Linked DNA regions of Danio rerio. The protein of the gene in region 5 interacts with the protein of the main gene of each other region in a biochemical or structural test. Links are inferred from orthologs where the notes say so. Each region holds a gene or a part of one and is shown on either strand. Other genes may lie near its edges.

What was found.
Region 1: the proteins of lrrk2 (region 5) and ndufaf7 form a complex in vitro, tested with the Homo sapiens proteins (2 studies listed by BioGRID and IntAct, with this or other methods). The link is inferred for Danio rerio from reciprocal best matches to the Homo sapiens genes LRRK2 and NDUFAF7.
Region 2: of the proteins of lrrk2 (region 5) and rps15, one has a biochemical effect on the other in vitro, tested with the Homo sapiens proteins (2 studies listed by IntAct). The link is inferred for Danio rerio from reciprocal best matches to the Homo sapiens genes LRRK2 and RPS15.
Region 3: the proteins of lrrk2 (region 5) and cdc42ep3 interact on a protein array, tested with the Homo sapiens proteins (2 studies listed by BioGRID and IntAct, with this or other methods). The link is inferred for Danio rerio from reciprocal best matches to the Homo sapiens genes LRRK2 and CDC42EP3.
Region 4: the proteins of lrrk2 (region 5) and echs1 interact on a protein array, tested with the Homo sapiens proteins (2 studies listed by BioGRID and IntAct, with this or other methods). The link is inferred for Danio rerio from reciprocal best matches to the Homo sapiens genes LRRK2 and ECHS1.
Region 6: the proteins of lrrk2 (region 5) and cuedc1b form a complex in vitro, tested with the Homo sapiens proteins (2 studies listed by BioGRID and IntAct, with this or other methods). The link is inferred for Danio rerio from reciprocal best matches to the Homo sapiens genes LRRK2 and CUEDC1.
Region 7: of the proteins of lrrk2 (region 5) and sh3gl2a, one has a biochemical effect on the other in vitro, tested with the Homo sapiens proteins (2 studies listed by BioGRID and IntAct). The link is inferred for Danio rerio from reciprocal best matches to the Homo sapiens genes LRRK2 and SH3GL2.

Annotation. Positions count from the first base shown.
Region 1 is NC_133195.1:3,386,615-3,390,114, forward strand, and holds part of ndufaf7 (protein arginine methyltransferase NDUFAF7, mitochondrial precursor), read left to right. Parts: intron 1-355; coding exon 356-499; intron 500-2,076; coding exon 2,077-2,250; intron 2,251-3,481; coding exon 3,482-3,500. UniProt on the Homo sapiens protein: Arginine methyltransferase involved in the assembly or stability of mitochondrial NADH:ubiquinone oxidoreductase complex (complex I).
Region 2 is NC_133186.1:6,052,589-6,056,628, forward strand, and holds the start of rps15 (small ribosomal subunit protein uS19), read left to right. Parts: upstream 1-1,240; 5' UTR 1,241-1,261; coding exon 1,262-1,264; intron 1,265-1,636; coding exon 1,637-1,722; intron 1,723-4,040.
Region 3 is NC_133188.1:45,680,713-45,684,748, forward strand, and holds the start of cdc42ep3 (cdc42 effector protein 3), read left to right. Parts: upstream 1-1,236; 5' UTR 1,237-1,316; intron 1,317-4,036.
Region 4 is NC_133188.1:27,793,886-27,797,986, forward strand, and holds the start of echs1 (enoyl-CoA hydratase, mitochondrial), read left to right. Parts: upstream 1-1,301; coding exon 1,302-1,392; exon of another isoform or gene 1,393-2,085; intron 2,086-2,425; exon of another isoform or gene 2,426-2,545; coding exon of another isoform or gene 2,546-2,558; coding exon 2,559-2,756; intron 2,757-2,837; coding exon 2,838-2,965; intron 2,966-3,048; coding exon 3,049-3,148; intron 3,149-3,251; coding exon 3,252-3,356; intron 3,357-3,442; coding exon 3,443-3,562; intron 3,563-3,663; coding exon 3,664-3,731; intron 3,732-3,819; coding exon 3,820-3,885; 3' UTR 3,886-4,101. UniProt on the Homo sapiens protein: Converts unsaturated trans-2-enoyl-CoA species ((2E)-enoyl-CoA) to the corresponding (3S)-3hydroxyacyl-CoA species through addition of a water molecule to the double bond.
Region 5 is NC_133200.1:38,184,587-38,188,204, reverse strand, and holds the end of lrrk2 (leucine-rich repeat serine/threonine-protein kinase 2), read left to right. Parts: exon of another isoform or gene 1-415; intron 416-1,646; coding exon 1,647-1,768; 3' UTR 1,769-3,118; downstream 3,119-3,618. UniProt on the Homo sapiens protein: Serine/threonine-protein kinase which phosphorylates a broad range of proteins involved in multiple processes such as neuronal plasticity, innate immunity, autophagy, and vesicle trafficking.
Region 6 is NC_133190.1:33,835,355-33,839,487, forward strand, and holds the start of cuedc1b (CUE domain-containing protein 1b), read right to left. Parts: upstream 2,801-4,133; 5' UTR 2,562-2,800; intron 1-2,561.
Region 7 is NC_133176.1:28,387,946-28,391,445, reverse strand, and holds part of sh3gl2a (SH3 domain containing GRB2 like 2a, endophilin A1), read left to right. Parts: intron 1-316; coding exon 317-450; intron 451-2,322; coding exon 2,323-2,481; intron 2,482-3,329; coding exon 3,330-3,433; intron 3,434-3,500. UniProt on the Homo sapiens protein: Implicated in synaptic vesicle endocytosis. May recruit other proteins to membranes with high curvature. Required for BDNF-dependent dendrite outgrowth.

The DNA.
Region 1 (3,500 bases), on a different chromosome or scaffold from region 5:
GGTGTCAAACTCAGTTCCAAAAGGGCCGCAGCTCTGCACCGTTTAGTTCCAACCCTAATTAAACACACCTGATCAAACTAATTGAGTCCTTCAGGCTTGTTTGAAACCTACAGGTAAGTGTGTTGGAGCAGGGTTGGAACTAAACTGTGCAGGGCTTCGGCCCTCCAGGAATTGAGTTTGACACCCCTGTAGTAAGAGCTTCATTAACGAGATATAAACTTATCCAGCATAAACTTAACAACATCCAGCATATGTTTTACGCAGCGAATGCCTTTCCAGCCGCAACCCATCACTGGGAAACACCATGTTTTAAGTTGTATTATGAAAATATTTTTCTGTCAATGATGATTTTTAGAAAGATGAAAGCAGACGGCACGTGGAAGTGTGTGCTGAGGCTGGAGTCATCGTTCAGAAGCTGGCCAGTCGGATCGCAGAGGACGGAGGCGCAGCCTTAATTGTAGACTATGGGCATGATGGGACAAAAACTGACACTTTCAGAGTAAGTACCGCATGTAGAATCCCTCTTAGGTGTTCTCAATCCGGACCTGTGCTGGTCATTTGAAAGCTAATGTGTTATATTAGGAGTTATCCAACTCAATCATTCATTCCCTTTATTAAGTCCCTTTATTAATCTGGGGTCGCCACAGCAGAATGAACCGCCAACTTATCCAGCAAGTTTTTATGCAGTGGATGCCCTTCCATCTCTGGGAAACATCCACACACACATTCACACACACACACTCATACACTACGGACAATTTAGCCTACCCAATTCACCTGTACCGCATGTCTTTGGACTGTGGGGGAAACCGGAGCACCCGGAGGAAACCCACGCAAAGGCATGGAGAACATGCAAACTCCACACAGAAATGCCAACTGAGCCGAGGTTAGAACCAGCGACCTTCTAACATTCCACCAACAAACAACACCCCCACCCTTCAAAAAAAAAAAAAAAAAAACATTTAGTTTTTGTCTGTGCTTAAATTTAATGACTTATTTCATATACATTTTTGGATATTTTATGCAGATGCACTCCTCTACAATAAAAATCATCCCAGTCATTGTAAAACTGTGAATTCTTCTCAGTTACTTATGTAAAATTAAGTACTTAAGTAAATTATATTCATATCAAAATGTACACTCACCGGCCACTTTATTAGGTACAGCTTAGTAGTACCAGGTTGGTCCCACGTTTGCCCTCGGATCTGCCTTAATCCTTCATGGCGTAGATTCAACAAGCTACTGGAAATATTCCTCAGAGATTTTGCTCCATATTGACATGACAGCATCACACGGTTGCTGCTGATTTTTTTGGCTGCACATCCATGATGCCAATCTCCCGTTCCACCACATCCCAAAGCTGCTCTTTTAGATTGAGATCTGGTGACTGTGGAGGCCATTTGAGTACAGCGAACTCATTGTCATGTTCAAGAAACCAGTCTGAGATGATTCATACTTTACAACCATGCCACGTTCAAAATCACCTTTCCTCCCCACGCCGATGCTCGGTTTGATCTGCAGCAGATCATCTTGACCATGCAAGATGAGTTGCTGCCATGTGATTGGCTGATTAGAAATGTGCATTAACGAGCAGTTAGACAGGTGTACCTCATAAAGAGGCTGGCGAGTGTATATTGCAAAAATACAAAATATTGCTATGACAGTTTTTTCCTATGTCGTGCAGCCCTAGTTTTACATGTATTTGAATGTCTCTTGCTGTATTTGACGTCACAAACTATTTCATTTTCATTACCTTACAATAAAATCCATACAGAACAGCTTGATTGGAAATTTACTGCATAAAAATAGAAGTTGAGCACAGAGAATACAAGAGAAGGAAATGCATGTTAAGTTTTCACATGCAAAATACAGATATAAAATGTTATCTAGTGTCATTTTAAGCAGGGTTTAGCCATTAATCAGTGTCCAGCTGTTAGTATTAGTGTGGTCAGGATGATTAAACTGTTTTGTTTGCGTTAATTCTGCAAATAATTGGCCTATTTTTAGTTGCTAGATCTGATCATTTATTTTGTGTTTTTCACCATGTTTTGTTGTTACAATTCATTCCTGTGACAGGGTTTTAAAGGCCATCAAATCCATGATGTATTGGAGGCACCCGGCCTGGCAGATTTGACCGCAGATGTGGACTTCAGCTACCTGAGGAAAATGGCAGGTGACCAGGTGATCTGCTTGGGACCCATCACACAGAGATCTTTCTTGAAAAACATGGGCATTGACTCCCGTATGCAGGTGAGAATGACAGCACTACTGCCTTTGAACTTCTAAAAAATGATGACGTGACAGGAACTGATTTCATCCTATGAATTGGCTTAAGTTGGTGTCACATGGATGACCTTCCGTGATCCAATATCTTCTACTGTGTTCAAGAATGAGGGAAAATCTGATTTGAAAACTGAATAGTATCACTATTTCTATTTTGGGGACTATTCCTTTGTCACCTTCATTTTTACAGCACATTATACACTAGAGATTTACAGAAATGCACGGTACAATACACAATATGGGCAATTCTACTCTGCCCTAGTGTAACGGAGGCCAGCTAGTGTGTGCTGTGCAGGTAAACCTCACTCCTCTGACCTCTAAAGGTGCTCTAGCGACAGATGCTAGAGGCCATGGTCTTTAGCTTCCTTGTTAGAGCAACAGACTTCCATGCGGAAGGTCGCTGGTTCGAAATCAGCTCGGAGCGGGTTGGGTGGCGTAGGACCGGTGGGGTTACATTGGTGCCGTGACCTGGATGGGAGTGAGGTTTGGGGGGGGGTGAGAGTAACGGATGCCAGCTAGTGTGTGCTGTGCAGGTAAACCTCACTCCTCTGACCTCTAAAGGTGCTCTAGCGACAGATGCTAGAGGCTATGGTCTTTAGCTTGCTTGTTAGAGCAACGGACTCCCATGCGGAAGGTCGCCGGTTCGAAATCAGCTCGGAGCGGGTTGGGTGGCGTAGGACCGGTAGGGTTACATTGGTGCCGTGACCCGAATGTGAGTGAGGTTTAGGGGGGTGAGAGTAACGGATTCCAGCTAGTGTGTGCAGGTAAACCTCACTCCTCTGACCTCTAAAGGTGCTCTAGCGACAGACGCTAGAGGCCATGGTCTTTAGCCTCCTTGGTAGAGCACCCGACTCCCATGCGATAGGTCGCTGGATCGATACCAGCTCGGAGCAGGTTGGTATCGCAGGACCGGCGGGGTTACACAAGCATATGAAGAGGAATATTATTACATGAATGAGGGAAATCTTACAAACAGCCGATTTTATGGATTTTTTTAGGCTTATAATATTCAACCAAGTATTTCTGAAGATGCTCAATGAAATAGATTTAATGAAATGATGTGGCAATAAGTAAACCTAAATCTTTATGTACAGAACTATCCATGTAGTGTATGTTAAAAAGTGACAGCAGACGCTATTGAATGATATTTTGAAAGTTGTTGAAGAGTTTGGTTTGGTTTTGTCATTCTCTGCTTTAGGTTCTACTGAGCAGTAATG
Region 2 (4,040 bases), on a different chromosome or scaffold from region 5:
ATATATATATATATATCACATAAAGACAAATTATAATTTAGAATTTAATAAATATATTTTTGGTAGCTTATAAACCAGAAATAATCTCTCTCTCATCATTTTTTTGGGCAAATTATTTTCATGAATTTAAGTGTATTTTCTTTCCATTTCTAAAGATGTTCTGTGACGAAAATATTATTTTATAAATTATATCTTGTTTAATAAATCCGTTTTGTTTAAATGCACCTATATATATTACACATAATCAGTGAGAAATGGGCAAAAATATGCATTTTCAAAATGGGCTGTATATACATAAATGCATAAACGAGTCCAACCCCTTTTGAAAATGAGCATTTTTGTCCATTGTTGGGTAATGGGTATATGGGGAATTTTGTGCATTTGAACTAAACAGATTTATTAAACAATTACAACATTTATAATGTTTGGTCACCGAACAACTTTAGAAATAGAAAGATAATAGGCCTACATTTAAATTCAAATAGGTCATTGCAAAAAACAAAACAAAACAATGTTTTACTATTTATGTTTCTCTTTTATCTGTTTATTAAAATTATATTTAATATTTCCACCTGATGTATCAATTTATTTTCGCAAATGTATTATAATATTTATCTATCTATCTATCTATCTATCTATCTATCTATCTATCTATCTATCTATCTATCTATCTATCTATCTATATCTATATCTATATATATATATATATATATATATATATATATATATATATATATATATATATATACATACATACATACATATCTATGTGTGCGTGCGTGCGTGCTGGTCAAACGTCTGGGCTCAGTGAAATTTTTAAAGCCTTGAACTCACCAAAGCCAAAGACTAGGAACTTTACTGAAGCTACTATTATTGACCGATTCATTTAATGCAAACATTTTTAAATAAAATATATTTTATTGCGTTTTAAAGAAAATTCTTGTGCTGCAACACATCTGCAACATCATCTGTGGTATTTGTTTTATTATTCAAAAGGGCAGCATTTAGGTCTACTTTAGACAAAATTGCTGTAGCAAATAGGCTACATGTGGTCACATTTGATCCACTTATTACGTCTTTTCTGGGCATATTGTCAGGCTCAATTATATACATTGTTTATATTCTGTTTTTACGTGAAAAACTTACTTCCTCCTCCTCTCCGCAAGATGGCGGCTTTCCAAAGTCGTCATGAAGAATGACGGAACTCTCGCGATATTACAGCGCCTCTCCTGCTTTCTTCCTTTTCCGGTAGTCTCTGAAGATGGTAGGTTCATGTCTTTATTTCTGAATAGCTACATCACATTAATCCAAAGCAATCTGTCGTATATACAATGCGAATCAGAACATTAAACACGAGTGAGATGTGTTTAAGATTTAGTGAATGTTACCAGGCCACTATTTAAGTGTTTGGGATGAAAGATTAGGTAGATGTTCGTCTGATTAGCAGCTTCAGTCTTGCGCTGCATTTCTCAGTCCGGCATGATGGATCCACGGGAATTTTTAATACGTTATTTTTGAGTGGCGTTATGAAGCACCGCGTTTTAACGTATTTAGTCGTTTATTTGTTATTGAAGTCACGGAGAGAGTCGCGGTAATGTCTCCCAGCAGCGGCTAACAGTGGTTGTGTTTCCCGCAGGCGGACACTGAGCAGAAGAAGAAGCGTACCTTCAGGAAATTCACCTACAGAGGTGTGGACCTGGACCAGCTGCTGGACATGTCCTAGTAAGTAAAAATTAAAAACATTTTCGCTCCACACAGTTAGTAAAGACAAAGCTTTATGTAAACTTTTTTTTTTAACTATCATAGTCTGATGTGATGCATTTCAAAGTATACTTGTTCGACGCATGCGCAATAGGTCATATCGTGGGACATTTCATTCCTAGATGTTTAGCGATCATATCTTAAGGTATTGCCAAGCCATGTAACGTTAGACATGTAAAATTATCGTCCTGCTGATTAACTAACTGCTGCAAAATGTGAAAAGTATTCCTTTCATAATTTGTTCACCTTCAAATTTATTCCAAAGTTTTGAGCTTGTTTTAAAGAGTGTTCGAGTGTTTTCACACCTGCCTCATGTAGTTCGATTAAATGGCACTAGAGTTCATTTTCCCTCTCGGTGTGGCTCGTTTGGGCAGGTGTCAGTGTAGCAATCGTACTGTAGTAAGCACCAAAAGCATACCAAGATCTCCTGAAAGAGGTGGTCTCGGTGCACTTTCAAACAGACCTCGTTTGTGGTGAATTATGATCCGAATTTAAACTGACCCAACCGCAAAAAGTACTGCGCCTTTTTGGACTAATCCAGCTGCCGTAGGCCGATGTGCTGTGCATCATGGAATGTGTAGGAAAATATTTGTTGACAGCGCTTTATCGAGAGAGAGAGAGAGGGAAAACCATTACCTGATGGATCGTTGGTAATATTTCCGGAAGATGACCATGTTGCAGTTTAGCTAAATTAATTCACGCCTCCTCCTGAAGTGACGTGCGATGCGTCTTTGCCGTTTGCAATGCATTAAAACATTTTCCAGCCGCATTTCATTTTCGAAATGTATAGTCTGTCCATAGTGATGTATTCAAACTATATAGTATACTATAAGCAGGGATACAATCAGTCAGCGCAGTCGTAGCTCCATATAGTCAAAAGCGACATGTTGTGTTCACCAGTTTGTTAACTGCGGCATTGGCATTATCCCGCACGTGAATTCTGACCAATCGAAAAGCAGTTTAGGAAATGTGTTCAATAATATCTGGCAATGAGTGATGTGGATTTTATCAGATGACTCAATTTTGGTTCTTTTCTACTGATTCGGACCAAAGCAATCAGTGTGGTGTACAAATAACCCAAAAACAGAAGAAAATGCTACAGTGTATCAATTTTTGCCCTGCGTCCAGACCAAAGGAACCCAACTACAGACGTGAAAGCACCCTTAGAAACTTTTTGCCACTGGCGAACATTGGATACCAGTGTCCAACATTTTTAAAAATATCTACATTTTCTTTTTAAATGGAGTATAAGAAACCCCTAAAGGTTTGGAGTAACTTGAGTGTCAGAAGATTTAGATTTTTGGGGTGCACTGTCGCTTTAACTATGCGCAATATGCTGATCCTCATGTCAATTGTTGGAAAGTCGTAAATGAAACCGGAACAATGGGCTAAATGCACAGCTAGTGTTTTTCAGCCAATGATAAACTTTTGGTGAAAGCTTAACGTGACGGTTTTCAATTTCATAAGGTTTCTTTTACACCATCGATGTTAATGTCATTCAGTTTAATAGCCTGCTTCAGGTCCCGTTTACACTAATACGTTTAGTTTTAAAACGGTGTTTTAGATTGATAATGATCTGCATCCACACTAGTGGTTTACCTAGTTTCTGAACCGCTCTCCATCCATACTACAGCACTGAAAATGCACATCACGTGACCACACACACACTCAGGCATGCGATGCAGCGTATGTGTACGTCTGAGCTTCAGGCAGTCATCTACTCAGATGAGAGCAGCGCATGTCGGACTGTTCATCAAGGATCTACCGCTGGATCTAGTCTCACTATATTTGTTAAACGTGATATTTAATTTATCTCGTTGTCTATATCTAACCACATATTCCCCGACTTTGGTCTTTTAAATCTATTACTTGTTCTCAGGTTATGTGTTTTAGCCAAGCGCAGAGATAAGTTAATATATTTGTTTATGTAAGCGCGTACACTGATTCTGCACATTTGACTGATTGCTTGCCTTTATTTCCTATATTGTTTAAACTTATTGTACGTTATACTTTTATAATGGCCATTATTGATTATTAAAACACTGATATTCAGCTTCAGAGAGGGCATGTTTCGTACCGTGAATGACAATAAAAGGAGGCAGTAATGTCATGGGCTCTGTTTTGTTATGCATACAGTGAAGATGACATCATATAAACATGTAGCTACACAGCGCCTCAACATTTCTGCTGTCTGTTAAGTTGCTAATATCAAAATAAAAATAGGCTGTTTCTTATGTTTTCATTTTATTAAGAAAGTGAAACAACGTAGCCAGGGTGAT
Region 3 (4,036 bases), on a different chromosome or scaffold from region 5:
CCGCGCGGACGTAAATGCGTCTGACTGTTGTGATTGGCTAAAGCAGACGTCTCACGTCAGCACGTTCTAGACGTGCACGCGCTTATTACGGGAATCTTCCTTCTGCATTCACACAGCGCAGCATTCCGGCAAATTGCCGGTAATGTTACAACTTCTGTATCCGGAAAATAGCCAGAACGAATTTACCGGTATTTTCAAAAAGGACCTGTTCACACGTACAACCTTTCCGGAAAATTGCCGGCAATTTTCCGGAAAGGTCTGTATGTGTGAAAGGGGCTAATGACACTCTATTAAGCTCCAAAGAGGTTTACACTGCAACTGAAATGAGAATCAGCTTGTACTGAAAGTATCTATTTATCTATATATACACAGTTAACAGTGTCCTGTAGAATCTACAGTAACTTACTGTAAAGAAATTACAGCAAAAATACTATATTTATTTACATTTACAGCAACATTTATCTTGCTGCATTTGTATTTACAATACTGTATGCCTTTACTTTAAAATACAGTCATTTTCCCAATGCAACTTGAAAATACAGTAATATGTTACATAACTGTCCTTCAGTAAAATTCAGCTCATATTACAGTTAAATACTATTTTATTTACAACAAACAGTGAACATCTATCTAGCATGGTTGCATTTCACCTCTCAGATTCAGCAACTTTAAATGCTGTGCATACAAATGAAGTAGAGATGCTGAGGTCGGCAGAAACAGAATGCAGAAAGTGAGACCAAAAGCAAATCAGAGGTGGTAAAAGAGTGTGAAAACTGAGATAGAATGAAAAAAAATGTGTGTGAAAGAGAGAGAGGAGTGTGAGGAAGAAGGTGGAGAGCGAGAAGATAAAAAAAGGCAGAGGAGGGATGGTGTATTTCTTCCACACTAGGAGAGATTCCACACACTCTTGGTTTTCGTCGTCCTCCCGTGACTGAGCGCTGTCTGTCTCTCCAGGAAATACTGCCGCAGCTCCGGCGGGTCGGGGTTTCAGAAGACCAGAGAATTGGATTTCAACGCCGCAGACAGGCAGGGACAGGTGCTGCAGGCGGAGAAAGGAGGAGCAAAGCAAAGCAGAGACACGCTGCACCGCTTCAGAGGAAGAATTCTGAAACAGCTGTCCAGCAGACGTCCTGCCTGCGAGAAGCAAACCCTCAAGGGCAGAAAGAGCGAGACAGAGAGGAGAGGGAGAGAGTGAGAGAGAGGAGACCAAAACGGCAACACACTGCACCACCCAGAAGCTGACTAACAGTTTAGGTCAAGACACCTTCAGGACGGCAACTGCAGAGTGAGGATAACAGGGAACCATTCATTTGCAGGTAAAAATGGATTTCTAGCACGGCATACTGTATGCATGAAACAAATGGCTTAAAAATGACATGCATGGGCTTATGTGTGTGTATCAGATTTTCTTGTTGCAATTAAGCTTGTATATGACATTACAATTAGCCACCAAACTGACAAAATGTAAAATACGTACATTTCCACATGAGACCAGGCTGGATATTCTCATGATATTAAACTAAGCTGCACAAAAAACTTTAACCTTGTATTGCATTTTCATGTTTAGAGTAAACATATGTTTCAACCAGATTCATTTGCATAGGATTGTAAAGTACAATTGGTAACACTTTACAATGAAGACTCATTACTATAAATAGAATAATAACAAAATAATATAAACTTAATGTATTGCATTATTGTATTTACAGTGCTCAGCATATCTGAGTACACCCCCCACAAATCTCTCATGTAAATCAATATTTTCTATAGGTTTATAGAAAATAAGCTCTACAGTATTATTTTTGTGCCTATACATTAGATTAGTCAGTACTAAAGCCAAATCTGGAGCTTATCTACCACAATAACTTACAATAATGGTTTAAAAAGTAGTAGGCCAAATTTATGTTAAGAAAAAATACGAAATAAAATTTTCAAAATTAGCAAAAATCAAGAGAAACAAAAAAATATACAATTTTCTTGAAATGTTGTAGGTTTTTTTTTTTTTTTTGCAAAATTTTAATGTATTTTCTTTCATTTCTAAAAGTGTTCTGTGAATAAAATATTATTTTATTAAATATATGTTTAAAAATCAGTTTTGTTCCAATGAACCAATATATATTACCCATATTTACTGTGAAATAAATTCATTTTCAAAATGGGGTGTACTCATACAGTATATGCTGAGTACTGTACTGGTGCAGAGTAAACCAATGCAAATTAAATTGCAAAACTAAAGTACAATTGGCAACACTTCACAATGAAGTCTTATTACTCATTATTTTAAATAGGATATTAAGAAAACAATATATAAAATTAATGTGTTGCAGTATTACTACAGTACAATTGGCAACACTTTACAATAAAGTCTCAAAGTAAACGTTAGCTATTTCATTCAAATAAATTGAGAAAAAGACAGACCTGTTAGTTACTATGTTAATATTATTTACAAAATACAACAGAATTTTACTATTTAACACATATGACCTGTAATGAGATTACGACTTTGAATTTAATGTGTTATTAGGCATTAACTAAGAGGTTAACATCACGTATACGTGTCAGTGACAGTTAAATGAACTAATGTTAATTATTACTTATTGCGCAGTGTTAATGTACAATGAATAGAACTTCCAATTAATATTTCAGCATGTATAGGCCAGATTTACATGTGACAATGTTCATGTTCGAACTGTTAAGCTAATTAACCAATTAAGTCTCTAGTTATTTGGCACTGCTATGAATATTAATTAAAAACACTCTAAAAGATTAAATAATAATAAATAACCATGTATGATATTTTGAAGTGATCATGATATCAATATTGTGCATTAAAATTATCATAATGAATATCAGCATATGTGTTTACTGTTAATATTTTTTGTAAATTAAATAGTATTTAACTGTAATATGAACTGTATTTTACTGTAGGACAGTTATGCAGTGTGTTACTGTATTTTAAACTTGCATTATGAAAATGAGTGTATATTTTACAGTAAAGATATACTGTAAATGCATCTACAGCAAGTAAATACAGTATTTTAGCTGTAATTGCTGCCAGTAAGTTACTGTAGATCCTACAGTAAACTGTTAACAGTGTAGACATGCATACACTCATACGGTGTAATTCTCGAGTGCAATCCTCCAACAGATAACATGAGATTGAGAAATTGTCAAACTCATCTACCATGTGGCTGTTATTTGCTAGTTAGTCTTGTGAAACCGCTTGCACATGGCTGTCATTACAATATGCGAGATCTGGCGCTGCAGAAAATGTTGAGCAAATTCCCTCGCACCACAAAACATGGGCCGAGAAGCGCAAGGCAATCCGACACCTGGTTCTTCTTCTTCGACTGCTTGACCAGAGCTTCTGAAATTCCTCGGATACATTCCTGCGTCCTACAGACTTGGATAGCATGCAGCACGCCAAAGACAACAGCAGCTTGAGAACAGAAGCCTTGGAGGTGGATGACAGGGTGTAAAAAGCACGAAGCTGAGGCGAAAGAGACCTCGCTCCACCCTGGTTCCTCCAAAAGCGGCAACAAAACCCAGAGTGTAATTAGGGGTTGCTTTATGTAACACACTGGAAACCTCAAATTGGGCCGAGTGCGGTTTTTGCCTTTAATCATTTAGAACATTGTCCAACAGGGTCGTTTGTGGTCGGAGGAATTTGAAAGATTGAAAGCTTAGGCCTGAAACACCCAAAAGAGAAGGAAAAACCCCCAAACCACCCAAGAGAGGAGAGCTTGACCGGCTGGGATTAGCTAGACATATAGCTGTGGGAGATTGCACCTGTAAAAAAGAGCAGCCAAAGGATGCAGATGTGCTTTAAATGCAGCGTCATCATTGGCTGTTTCCATACAAAGACGGGAGTTGAAGCTAATGCGCAAAGCTGAAATACCGCATGAATCAAAGCATAGCCATATACGTATACATTTAGTGTGGTAAGAGATGCCACTGTGGGCCATTTTCTTATATACACTGTTAGACTTTTACAGTTGTAATATACACTGTACATTACATTTTACAAACAAATATA
Region 4 (4,101 bases), on a different chromosome or scaffold from region 5:
ACCAAAAGCACATCGAAACAACCAAATATAATAACCTAAATTACATTTTAGAAAGATCTTTACATACCGTCCAATGTCAGCGATGGCCAGAAACTTAATGCAGGTCACACCAGTTTCTCAACGTCATCGACGGTTTTTCGAACACATTCTTTTTTAGAACGCCACTGAATATGGTAACCACAGCAACGCCAATACGCCGCCTTATTCAATTATCTTAAAGGTGCAGTGCGCAATTTTCGTGAAGCACTGTAGAATATAATAATAATACTAATAATTTTAAGTATGTGGGTCCCTGTAACACTATCTTTTGATTATATTATCTTTTGAGTAAATAATAGCAACTTTAATTCTTAGTTTGATTAACTTTTGTATGTTTATATTCTATTTTATGCATGTGTGTCTTATTTTTCAGACATATATAATCTGTATCTAACATGTATGTAATCTCTGAAAAATATATAGTTCAGTTAAGGCCACCAGAGAGCAATGTAGTCTCAACTTTAGTGTCTCAAAATATAGGCTAAATCATATATATGTAATAAATAGCTAGACGCCTCGTGGTCTGCTTCGGTGTTGCTCTGATACGTCAACGCGGCCGCCATCTTTAATCTGGTCATCAGTGCGCTATAAACAGACACAACTGAACGGGGAAGCTGCTGTTTTCTCGGATATAAAATAACGCTTATATTTATTAACTGATTATAGTTTTATAGTGTGAAAAAACTTCAGTTACCTATAAGTAAGAAAGCTGAAACTTGCAATGTATATTTTAATGTATAAAGAGAGCTGTATTTTAAATAAATGTATCTATAGTATCCCCTTTACCAAAAATAGTTTTATAACAGTTGACAGAAAGAACCCCACATTATTATAATAGTGCAAATTCTTTACAATATAATGTAAAATAAAATAATATATATTTATCTGAAAATATTAATTAATAAAAACAAATAGAATATGAAATAGTATGTGTGTGCTTTAATAATAACTATAATTCAATAACAAGTAACAATACTAATAGACCATTGCATACACCATTGGCTAAAATGAACGCATAAAAGGTCATTTATGTCATTGGCAGTGACTGTTTTGCAGGTTTGGGTGTGGATAGTTGTGAAAATACAAAGTTAATACGATTAAATAATTACTCGCCTCGTTCTAGCAGCTTGATTAGAACTGTAAGCGGTTGTCAGAAAGGAGGGATTTTGTTACACTACCTGGCATCCTGACTATGCCGACGTCACTGTTGACAGCCAACCAGCGCGACTTCAGCAGCGCTACCCTTGACCCTGTACACAACCATGGCGCTGCTCTGCAGATCAACAGGGTTACTTCTCAAACACAGCAAACTGCTGCCCTCTGCTTTAGCAGCGACAAGGCAATCCAGTTCAGGTAATTTAATCATGTGTAGATAAAAATTATCGCTTCGTTTTCAGGATCTGGAGTTTTGTTGTGAATGGAAACTTGCGTCATTTGTCTGCTCTGGTTTTTTGTTACGTTACTGCTGAATGTGTTTGAGAGTATTATTGAGGTAAAGTTGGTCTTACTTTCACACATTTAGACTTTCTTCTTTTATAATATAATTTCAGAAAAGTATTCAATTCTAAGTTGTGAAATAATATAAGCAGCCACTGACTATCAAAGTACACCACTGTTCACAGTCAATCAAATAGTGCTAATGTTTTGAAGTCATACTTGCATGTTAATTTAGTCAGAATATTCAAAATACTGTGGTAAACAACATATAAGGAGCTGTCACTGAACGAATGTGCGAATATGAAACCAAATGTACCTCAATGTTGAGAGTTATAAGGAACAATTAGCTTTATATGAAGAAATAAAATTAGTGTCAGAGTCAGACTCTGAACAGTTTTCACTCAGGAGCGATAATAAATTGTAACAACCAATGCAAATAGATGGAGAGTTTACTTAAAATTTGAAGAACGCTCATAATCTTTGATCAACATAAATAAAAAAGGCATTTTGCATTGTAGTAGCTTCATGTATGCTTCTGTTTCATTTGAAACACTTATTTCAAACTTAAATTTGAAATTATAGAGATATATGTATACTCTTAATGCAGGGGTCACCAACATTTTATAAACTGAGAGCTACTTCTTGGGTATCGTTTAATGTGAAGGGCTACCAGTTTGATACACACTTCCTAATAACAAATTTGCTCAATTTACTTTTAATTATATGTTATTAATAATCATGTTAATGATTTATCACAATAGTTGTCAACAATGATTGGAAACAGATAAATATCAATCAATGCAAGTGTGATTTAAAAAGAATAGCTACAAAAAGTATTAGATGCAGCTTACTGGTATGTGGTGCTATGGTAAGCTAATTTTATAACAGGCCCACGGGCAACTCATGTGATCCTCAGGGGCACCATGTTGGTGACCCCTGTCTTAATGAGATTATTAGGGATATCTCCAGAATTAAAAGCTGAGTCAGCAATGCTGAGATCATGTATTTTTTATAATCATTTATTAAAAATCATATGGAGCCAGTGTGAGTTACTTTGACCCTTACCTTCATGTCTTTTGCAGGTGTCCAGTATGAGTACATTCTGGTGGACAAAAAGGGTGAAAAGAAGAATGTTGGCTTCATCCAGCTGAACAGACCAAAGGCCCTGAATGCTCTTTGTGATGGACTCATGCTGGAGGTGGGCAAAGCGCTCGATGCATTTGAGATGGACAGTGAAGTGGGAGCAATCGTCGTCACCGGGAGTGAAAAAGCCTTTGCAGGTGTGAAACTGTAGGTGAAGGCAGTTGTGTTGTATTGAACTGATTTGAAACTGTTGTTGTGTGTTTTATCTGCTTTGATAGCTGGTGCTGACATTAAAGAGATGCAGAATCGAACCTTCCAAGAGTGTTATGGTGGAAACTTCTTGGCACATTGGAACAGGGTATCAACAGTCAAGAAGCCTGTTATTGCTGCGGTCAATGGGTTTGCGGTGGGTAAATGTTTTTAATGCATTCACCTAAAAGACTTTTAACATTAATTTACATTTAGGCATAAACATAATGTCTTCTCCAGCTTGGCGGAGGATGTGAGTTTGCTATGATGTGTGACATCATCTATGCTGGAGAGAAGGCACAGTTCGGACAGCCAGAAATCCTGCTTGGGACCATTCCTGGTACAATAAAGCATCCTTTCATGATTTTTCAGATTTACAAATGACAAAGAAATATAAATGCAATACTTACAGATCACAACATTTCATCTTTGTATTGTTCCAGGTGCTGGTGGCACTCAGAGGCTTACAAGAGCAGTTGGAAAATCCCTTGCGATGGAGATGGTTCTCACTGGAGACCGAATCTCAGCCCAGGAGGCAAAACAGTCTGGTTTGTCTTTTAAATTTACTTTTGCACTACAGCCTTTTTCTTCTTTTCTTATTTTAATATATGAACTAATGTATTCTTCTATGTAGGCCTGGTTAGTAAAATATTTCCTGTGGATCAGCTGGTTCCAGAAGCGATCAAATGTGGAGAGAAAATCGCTGGCAATTCCAAACTGGTCTCAGCCATGGCAAAGGAATCTGTTAATGCCGGTAATGCACTTTTCTAATTAAAACAGATTCATGCATCCAAATTTGACTACAAAAAATGTATATGTATAAGTTTTGACAGTTTTAATGACTTTTGTCTGCAGCATTTGAACTGACTTTAGCTGAGGGCAGTCGGTTTGAGAAAAGATTGTTCCATGCAACCTTTGCTACGGTGCGTCACTTTTCTTCCATTTATTCATTTCCTTTTTTGAGGAAGAAAAATGACTTCATACTTAAACTTGTTGTGTTCTCATTTTTAGGAGGACAGAAAGGAGGGCATGTCTGCCTTTGTTGAGAAGAGAAAGGCTGCTTTCCAGGACAAGTAAAATTCCAGTGGAAAAAAAATGTGGTGACTTTTAAACCATGAATAGTTTGGGATCAAATGCTGAAGTTAAAATACTCAAATTTGCCTTAATTTTCTCATCAAGCATTTATGGACAACAAAAACATGAAGATTTATGAAACTGGGTTGTTTAACTGTAGTACAGCGAGTTCACATTTAGCTCAGATGATCTATATACATAAACTTTTTAATCATTGTC
Region 5 (3,618 bases):
ATATTTCGGTTTTGTACATATGTTTTGTGTGGTGTTGGTAAGGTTTTGATTGTATGTTTGTTTATATGCAGAGGGTTTTTTGGTATCCACTTTAAGTCATCAAAACAGGACCTGGACAATCCATCCTCATATCCACAGACTTTTTCCATCCACTTTTCTACTGATTCCGTGGCCAGCCATTGATGAACTGTTTGCTGAACTTGATCTTTCATGTGATTCACTTAAGGACTGTTGGTATCTTTTTTGGATTGCTATAAATACTGGATTCAATGAGAGACACTTATCGAATGCTTATTTCTGTCTAATAGTGATCATTAATGAGTTGACTGCTGATCATTTCATATCCCCAGTGTGTAACAATAATTATTCATACCTGCTGTCATATACATTTCTAAATACACATGAATCTCTGAAAGTTGTTTTGTGGTCTCTCAATTTCTTTAATGTAGCTTCAAAAAAAAGTAGTTGTTACAACGTTACATGATGCAGTGTATCTTTGAATGAATATATATTCAAAGAGATTTCAATGAACTATTCTGTATTAACTATGCCTTCACTTACAGAATGGTCATTTTTGGGTGAACCATGCCTTTGATTTAATTAATAGAAGTCAGAATGTTATACTCAAGTTATGAGTAATGACAGACTAGCCCTTTAAGAATGTTTAGGGGTGCTAATAGTTTTGACCACTTTGTATTTGGGGAATTTATATTATTAGGGGCCAAGCACCGTAGGTGCATAGGCACCTATTGCTTTCGTTAGCATTCTTCATCTTCTGTTTCTTTCGCCGGATTTGAATGGCAGCCCATATAGGCGTATGCGGGAAAGTTGTATAATTTGGCACAATCATAGAGGACAGTCTAAACATTAATCAGACCAAATATGAAGTCTCAAAATCAAACTCTAGTGCCACCACTTGTCCAAACATTCACGTATGTTTATCATAACTTTTGAACCGAATGGGCTACAATCAAAATTTCAAGTTGATTAGATCAAGCGTTTTCGTTTAACTTGCGATCAAATTTAACGTAGAACTTGCGAAAATGGACTTGAGTCGATATCTCTGTAACGCATGCACCGATTCACACCAAACTTGGTGTGTGTTATGACAACTAGGGTCTGAGGTTATGCGGAGTTTTGATGCACTGCCCCCTAGTGGTCCGGAGATACAAACTTGCTTTTTTGGTTTATAACTTCTCAACCTTTCGTCCGAAACTCTTAAAACTGGTCTCATTACATCCGGCAGAGCATGTCGAGTCGAATGATGTCTGATTTTCACAGGTCAGCCATTTTGGGCGTCGACCATTTCGATTTTTGACCAAAAATGCTATATTTTAACAACAACTTCACATATCATCACAAAACATGGTACACATCTTCAACCCCATGCCCTGAAAGTACTCTCAAACTTCTGAAGCAGCGCCACTTTTTGGCCAAAAGTGCTTGGGGCCCCCTTAATTGCTGCTTGCAGCTATATTTATTAATATTATTTTTTTTACATTTTCCTCGTTATTTTTAATTACAATGAAAGGTAATGTCTGTGAATTCTTCAGCTCATATATGCCAAGGTGGCCAATACTTCTGATAGTGAATGTAGTGTCAAAAGCACAAGGAAAGTCATTGATGACCTGTGTGTGTGTTTTCAGCGGAGGACTCTGTGCTGACGCTCTGGAGCAGTTCTCTTCCACTGGAGGCTCGAGATCTGATGCGACACTGTGAGCTCCGAGACAAAACCACCCGCAGAATGAGAGAAACGCTGCTTAATTAAACACCATCTCCACACAAAAACATCAGAATAAATCCGCCATCGACAACTCCCTGTCAAACTAAACAGCATCAGGTGAATTTGTGCACAAAAAACCCCAAGTCCAGCGTGTAGCTGAGCGTGGAAATGCTTTAAAAAGGGGATGGTTCACTCAAAAATGAAAACTACGGCATTAATTATTAGTCACAAACCTGTTAAACTGACTTTCTTTAGTTGAATAAGAGAAGTCAATGGTTACAGGTTTTCAGCATTCTTCCAAATATCTTCTATGTTGTTTTTCATACTATGGAAGTCAATAGTTACAGCATTTTTCAAAATCTCCTTTCGGGTTCAACAGAAAACAGAAACTCTTAACAGGTTTGGAACCACTTGAGGGAGAGTAACTAGACTAATACAATTACTAACTCATAAAAAATGTGCTGAAACAACTGAAATTCTCGGGAAAACTTGCTTTTTTACTTGCGTTTTATGTTCAACACACTAAGTTAATCGATTTGTGTCTGAACAACTTGAATGTATGGTAGTTTTGTTTACAGAGTAGCGAGTACATTTCATTTTCGGGTGAACTGTCCCTTTAAGAGTGTTTAAAATGTCTCCGAGCAGCTTTTAATGCGACCACAGCTTTACTAGTCACGAAAAGGGACCCGAAATCCATTTCAGCTTCTTTAAATAGCCAAGGGAAATTTTCATTGTGGTGAATATATCATAAATGTAGCTCGTATCTCAGATGTAGCTGTGATTCGGATTGTATGGAAGCTCATATGAGGACGGAACCAAAACAGCACTTGATTATGTTAGCCTTATTATTTTGTAGTATTTATTTATTATTGGTTTAAAGCCATGTGAAGAGGAGGCGGCCATATACAATGCATCTGTGATAATGCATTACAGCAGTCATCATTCTTTCCCCCATTAATGGATGATACATTAATAATGAAAGCATTAATGCTGGTTGTGAGATTGTGAATGAAGGCAATGTAATATATCACATGATGACATTATATGGTTTGTGGAGACAATCTATTGCTGAGACTGGAGCGATTTACGTTAAGCTAATAAACCACACTACACAATTTATGATTTATTATAATCATGTTATTTATGATGTCCGCAGCGAGCCTTTTTTTTATTATTATTTTTTTTATTATTAATTAACTTCATGAAGTTGAGCACAAACATTATAACTGGAGCATAAGCCATAGATTAAAAGCTATGATTATGATTATTTTGGTTACTGAAATGACCCTTCACTGTTACATTTTTGTGATTTGTGGGAATGTAATTATTATTATGATTTATAATCGAATGCTGCATGCCACGTATGTTTTTAATAAAGCTGCCATTTTGTATGATAATAGTATTTTTTTCATTCATTGTAACAAACGTCCTGATCATGTAATGGCCACTTTATTAGGTACACCTGTCCAACGGCTTGTTAATGCAAATTTCACATGTCAGCAGCTCAATGCATTTAGGCATGTAAACATGATTGAGACGATCTGCTGCAGTTCAAACAGAGCATCAGAATGGGGAAGAAAGGGGATTTAAGTGACTTTGAACGTGGCATGGTTGTTGGTCTGAGTCGGGCTGCTCTGAGTATTTCAGAAACTGCTAATCTGCTGGGATTTTCACGCACAACCATCTCTAGGCTTTACAGAGAATGAAGGAAATATCCAGTGAGCGGCAGTTCTGTGATAGCAAATCGTCATACTCGTCACAACCCAGCTCTGCAGAAGAGCATCTCTGAACACACAACACGTCCAACCTTGAGGCGGATGGGCTACAGCAGCAGAAGAGCACAGCCTACCTGAGTATTGTTGCTGACCATGTTCATCCCATTATGAGAACTGTCT
Region 6 (4,133 bases), on a different chromosome or scaffold from region 5:
TACGCAGCGGATGCCCCTTCAGCTGCAACCCATCACTGGGAAACATCCATACACAGTCATTCACACACATACTCTACGAACAATTTAGCCTACCCATTTTACCTATACCACATGTTTTTGGACTTGTGGGGGAAACCGGAGTATACAGATTATTTAAATAGGGCAAATGAGTTAATTAACCACCCCTAACCATGTACATATATTTTGCAGCCAGTTTAGGTGTAGTTTTGCCCTCTCCGAGTAAATTGAAAATAAACTCTGTCTTGCGGCTGTGCAAAGCGAAATCAAAAGCCGAATCTCGGACATTTTAGAAGATTTAGACACCCTGAAATGACGCATTATTAAGTCCCCAAAAGGCGAGTCTCTGTGGGTCTCTGCGGAACACTTGAGATTGTGGGACTTTTGACAGTTCTTGTGCACACACAATGAGAAGTAGGAAACATGTAGGTCTAGAGGAGATTTTAAACTAGTTAATCGATCACGGATGTTTGGCTGATGTGCGGACACAAAAAGAGGATGATAATAATAAAAAAATTTCACCAAATATACTTGGGTGGCTGTTATTATATCTGGATGGCCCGCCCACGTGAAGTCTATGTGTGGGAAGCACCGGTTGTCCTAAAGTAATTAATTAAAAATACAGATGCTTAAACACATCCAATAGTGACAAGTTTCTTTTTTCTTTTTTTTTTTAAATAAACAGATTTAGGAATAAATCTCTTCGAATATATGTCTCAAAGCATTACTGTTCTCTGTCGACAAAGTTTCTGATTATTTACATGCTCATGAAAAGATAAAATAAGTCATAAAAATACATATCTTTTTTTAGCCTTTCTGATTTATGACCAAGCCTTCCACTATAATTTGGAGAAAACAAGTACAAAATAACAGAAGATGCAGTTAATTAAAATAATGACAATGTTTATTTAAGCAGTTGGTTGTATTTTTTTTTTTTTTAGAAATAACATATTTAAATGCTTTTATGCAAGATAAAAATCAATAATAGAAATCAATTTCTATTGTATGGAGAAAAATCAATAGTGTATTTACTTCTGGAAGCTGCTGTGCTCTATATAAAGAGAATCATCTGAAGGGGTCAATCTACATCCAGTTCATCACCCCCAGACTCTGAGGTTCTGGAGCAGTACAAGAGACATTCTTAAAAGCTTTCAATAGGATAATGCCATACAAAATAGGAGGTGTTTAAGTGGATACGATCAGTCCATCAAACCCTCCGGCATCTTCAAGAAGGGAAAAAACAGGGTCAGTAGCCATATGCAAATCAAGACTTCACTTAAGGGGAGAGGAGTGGCACCAGCTGTCCGACTGATAGACCTTTACCGCCTCCTCCATCATTAATAACATTTCAACAACCAGGACTACGGCTGCCAGACAGATCTAGACCTTTGAACCCCAAAATGTGCTTCACAAGCTAAACACTGATGTTTTGCGTCTCAAAATATGAAAATGGCATTTCCTTACAAGGTTTGCATGTATGAATGTGCAAAAGTACTTTATGGAAGATATTGTTAAAAAAGCAGCTGTGTGAAAATAATATTGCTTTAACTAGAAACAGGGGTGAGGGGTAGTAGTCCCTTATTATGGTGGGCATATCCCTTATATTTACATCCCAATGTTGACAGGTATTACCTAAAATCAACCAAACTTTGACGTGGTAATTGGACATCAAAATAACATTGTCCTTAGACGCTGGCTAGACATTTAATTTTGGTCACCTGACGTCACAACCTAAATCTAACCAATTATTAACGTCTTATGAGATTGTGTGCTGGCTAGGGAATAACCAAATGCACTACAGAATGTTACGTTTACACACATCCACAAATTATATGTGAATGCATCAGCCTTTTATAGTATAACACTCACTACTCTTGAGTACTTATGAAAGGTTTACTTTTCACTCATAATTTGAGTAATATTCACTTTTACTCTACTTACACTCCATTTTAGGCAAGTAATACTTTAACTTAAGTATCATTTTAGTACTATTTGCTATAGTGTACTCGTGTATAACGCACGTTTACTCAAAAACTACTCGAGCCGATTACGTTCATTTGGTGCACGAGTGGTCATGTTTAATCGATTCAGTAAAACGAACCGACTCAAAATAACGATTCGCTGAAGAATCGGACATAACTGCCGAATTAATACGCGTCAGTAATACCCAAACGTGCAGTCTAGTTAACGTTAGAGAGCGAACTAGCATTTGAAGCACAACCAACCACATTTATGACAGAAGGGCAGCACTTCCCAGATTTAAGATGTGGAATTCCCTGTCTATATTTAAACACAGAAATCTCCTATCACGCATATAAACACGTTCACTTGAAGTGTAAATAAAACTGGAGGCCGCAGCAGTTCACAACACACTGCTCAACAACAGTACTCTAAACAAAGACGTGTAAAGCAACCATAAATCACCCATATAGCGATTTCAGCAACGTATAAACTAAATCCTAATAATGCCACCATTAAATATATTGTGAAACCCTCAGAGTTGTATGTAAATTCAAGCTGGTGTAAAAAACAAAGCTACTTACTCTAGGTGAACAGAAGCAGACTCCACAGCGCACGTTCCCAATCCGTCCCGTTTTCCCCTTTATCCTAAATATAAACACTAGTCGCTCATTTCCTTGGGCTTTAAAAGACTGTATACATCGGCGTACATCATCTCTGTCGACACCGATTGGGACCCAGTCGGCGTGTTCATGCTCAGCGCCTGAAATCCCCACTGAAAGGGAACTAGCAGCCAGTGTGTTGTTGTGTATCAGGATGAATCAAAGAGATGGGAAAAAATCTGTCACAGCCACAATCTCTGTGTGGGTGAACAAAGAGCCACACGGCCGCCTAGCGGACAGAGAGAAAGACTACAGCCGCAGAGGATACACCTGAAATATAGTCAATGCATTTCCAATAAAACATATGAAGTTCACATGTAAAGGCCTCTTAATGTCGTCTGATATCTTCTGCTAGAATGAGTAGTTTAGACGCCTCCTTGTGTAGATTAATTAATTTCACTTTATGCTAAAGAATAGGTTTTATTGTCTTTAACATGAAATATCAACATTAATTTATTCATTCATTTTCTTTACAGCTTAGTCCCTTTATTAATAAGGAGTCGCCACAGCAGAATGAACTGCCAACTTATCCAGCATGTTTTATACAGCGAATGTCCTTCTAGGCACAACCCAACACTGGGAAACACCCACTCTTACAGACACTCTTCTATTCACACTCATACACAACAGCCAATTTAGTTTATTCAATTCACCTGTCTCGCATATCTTTGGAATGTGGGGGAAACCGGAGCACCCGAAGGAAACCCATGCTCACAAGGGGAGAACATGCAAACTCCACACAGAAATGCCAACTGACCCAGCCCCTTGGCTCGATCCAGCGACCTTCTTGCTGTGAAGCAATCGTGCTAACCACTGTGGCACCGAAATATTAACATAAACACACACACACACACACACACACACACACAAAAAAGCTAATTTTGAAAGAAATCTTCTGGATTTAGAGGTTTTTGCATCTGAACTCTTCATTTGAAAAGTTTGGATATATAAAGATTTGTTAATGTTTTTGATTTAGCTTCTTTTTGCACACCAAGGTTGTATTTGATATATAATAATCTTGAAAATGACAACTATATAATAGTAATAATATTTATTGAATTAATTTTTCTTCGGCTAAGTCCCTTTATTCATCAGGGTTCACCACAGCGAAATGAACCACCAACTTATCCAGCGTATGTTTTACACAGAGGATGCCCTTCCAGCCACAACCCAAAACTGGGAAACACCCGTACACTATGGAAATGCCAACTGACCCAGCGGGGACTCGAACCAGTGACATTCTTGCTGTGAGGTGACTGTTAACCACTGAGCCACTGTGCTGCCAGTTATAATAATGTTAAATTATTATACAAATACTATTAGAAAACATAATAATAAAAACATATTGAATGCCTGAGAGAAATTTGACATTGAATCACGAAATTTTCATTTAAAATGTATTCACACACGATGCAAACAATTAAAATTGAAATATTATTTCACAATATTAATGTTGGAATGACATTTTTGATCAAACAAAAGTATTTTAAATGT
Region 7 (3,500 bases), on a different chromosome or scaffold from region 5:
TGATTAGAGCACTTTTTTATATTGTTATTAAAGGTAAAAAAAAAGAAATATTATATATATTTATATATATATATATATATATATATATATATATATATATATATATATATATATATATATATATATATATATATATATATATTATACACACACACACACCAAGGTGATTTCAATTGCAGCCTTTTTCCTAAAACGCTCTTTAGCTACCTATTTAAACCCTACGTTTATGAATACCCTGATGTTTGTATTAAGAAATCTGTGTGTAACAGTTTTGCCTCTGAAAGTAAAACATGTATTGTACTCTTGTGTCTCACAGGGGTGGCTCTGATTGATGTTGGAGAAGCCATGCGAGAGCTTGGTGAAGTAAAAGATGCTTTAGACATGGAGGTCAAACAAAACTTTATTGATCCCTTGCAGAATATTCATGATAAAGACTTAAAGGAAATCCAGGTGAGACATGAAAACTCTTTAAAAGCAATAGTTTTGTCATTAAATACAGTCATCCTGTAAGACTCTTTTATTTAAAAAAAAAATCTTGTTTTGGGACCTCTGGGGGTAAAATTGTAGTTGCTTTTCTTTTGCATAGTGGAATTTCATTGTAGAATAGAAATTACAAAATAGAAAAAATACAAATAAAAAAAAATTGTAAAAAAGTATATTGTTCTGGAAACACATAATCCAGACCTATTTAAATGCTCTGAAATAGTTCTGAGCTGCATTTTAATTCAATTAGTGTCACAGCCTAGCATTAATCATGGCATTTAGTGACTTGCCATTACAACTCATATAAATAGCTCCAGTGCCAATGTTCTGTTTCAGTTTTCACATTTAAATGTGGATTGTTTTTGTGAAGTTGTTGGACTGGGTGTGGGAGAAAACAATATACAGAACGTCACACCCAGCAAAGTGCTTCATCCCATTATGCACATCAGCAAAAAGACCCATTTAATCCCAAGGTTAATTAGGGCTGTATTGGGTTTTATATTTTTAGCCTTTCAACCACAATAATACCATCATTTCTGTGTTATTTGTTCCGTATATACACTCTAATTTCTATAGTAGCTCAAGATGAAGTAATTCAACTTTTGAAAAGGAGTCTCAAAGTGAACATTTTTGAATATTGTACCTTCTCTCAGCTAAACTACACAAGTGTACTTTTCACAAAAAAAACTAGCATGTCATAAACAACCATATTACATTTAGTGTATACTCTTGTGCTAGTTTTTGTGTGCATGCATGTTCATGGATCTGCATGAACGAGGTTCAGTTTGGCAATGTTACTGCTTGTAAAAGTAAAAGAACAGTATTCCCCATAAACAACCATGAATCATTATTTCATGATATTGGTTCAAGGTCTAATTTATTCCGTAATGAATTAAGAACTTTATAAATGAATCATCATTCGGATTCAAAAATAAATCTTTAATTTAAATTTTTTTTTTAATTAATTGCAGTAATTAACAATTCAGAGACTCTAGTAAATAACTTTTATAAAAACAAATTTCTTTGCCTATTCAGAATTGTAGGACAAGCATAATTTATACTTAAACATTTAAAATTTGCTTGTGAATCTTAGATTAGTGGCATGATTATTTAGCCCAATTTTGAAAGTTCACAGTCCCAGCCATTTAAAGAGTTTGTTCATTCAAAAGTAAAAATCATGCTAATTACTCACCCTCATGTCAATCCAAATGAAGAGATTTTAGGTGGAGCTCCCTCATCTTCTGTCAACAGCAAGGTCCCTAAATTGTCCAGAAAGGTAACTTCGATGAATGAAATTCAGCTACAAGAATAAACATAAAAAAAATACATTTATTCAACCTTATCATCAATGTTTGTTTATTGTACACATATATCACCCAAATCCCCCAGTGTCTGTCTACAGCTTCTGCTTTTTGAAACAAAGCATCTGAGTTAATACATCAGTGGCACGACCAAGCACAGTATGTGATCGTGCAACCTTTACCATCACTGAGGAGAAGAAACAGTTGATTAAAGTCAATTTTCTTTATGTGCGCACAAAAGTATTCTTGTAGCTTGAAAATGGGAGCTAAAATCTGCAGGACACCGGCCCTCCAGGAACAAGTTTGGTGACCACTTCTATAAAGGATGAGGGAGCTCTCAGATTACACCTGAAGTGTCTTAATTTGTATTCAGAAAATGAATAAATATCTCAGGCCGTTTGGAACAACATGAGGGTGAGTTCTGTTAAACTAACGCTTTAATGGAGGCACTGCATTAGAATTAACATTGGTGTGACGGAATGTCACTAGAGGTCAGTAACTGAACAGCAACATTTTCATTTTCCATGTTTCATGACAGCATCACCTGAAGAAGCTGGAGGGGCGACGATTGGACTTTGACTATAAGAAGAAAAGGCAAGGAAAAGTCACAGAGGATGAGATCAAACAGGCCCTGGAGAAGTTTGACGACTCCAAGGAGATTGCCGAACAAAGCATGTTTAATCTTCTGGAGAACGATGTAAGATCTGTGACCTGTCCTGTGCCTGCCCTTGCTCACCATCCATTTCATGCTTCTGTAGACTCTGATTGTACTTTATCTGTGCTTTTTGTGTTATATGCTGTATCCAGTGAGTCTTTCTTTCCTCTTATCTCACAGGTTTCACCCCTTTTCCATTAATCACTGCATCTCATCCAATGGCTATGTTTACATGGTTGGCAGTGTGATTGCTGCCAATACTCAAAGTAATGATTAAGATGTTAACATGACACGGGCAAACCTTTTCAGTGCCGTTTACATGATTCCTGCTATTATTAGGATCATTTGTTAAGAGTTATGATGTTTTTGCTTTAAAATAGGCTCCAAGTGCTCCTGGCGTACATGGACCTGTTGGCCAGTCCTAGGGTACACGGTCTCCCTCTTTTCCTAGAAGCCACACTTCTGGGAAGCTCAGAAATCTGAGATTATGCATATAACATTACATAACATGGGCATCATGTGTTTTATTGGTGATCGGAAATGCCAAGGTGGTATATTTCTGAACATCTAAGAGCATGATGCCAAGAAGTGTGGCTTCTTCTGATCCAGCATGTTTTCGACCCATGCATGAGCGTTTAGTCAGATGAAAAATGCAGTGCTTTACATATTTTACTGTGACTTATGATAACTCCAAACATGAACTTCATCATAACCACAGTATTGTTTACATGAACTCGCTTGCAGTACTTCATGGTACTGTCGTAATTACATTGTGAGGGTGCATGTAAATGTAGCCATTGTTTGCTAGTCTTGAACTTCATATGTGATCATCGAGGCGTTATTTGTGTTCATGTGTTACAGTTATTAATGTTCTAACTGTGTTTCACCAGATTGAGCAAGTGAGTCAGCTTTCTGCTCTGGTCCAAGCTCAAGTCAACTACCATAGACAGGCGGCAGAGATTCTTCAGCAGCTGTCCAGCAAGATCGAGGACAGGTCTGGATCCTAAAACAAACCATAGAGTTAAAAGTTCTAATCTTTAGTAAACAATTTATAAAGGGAT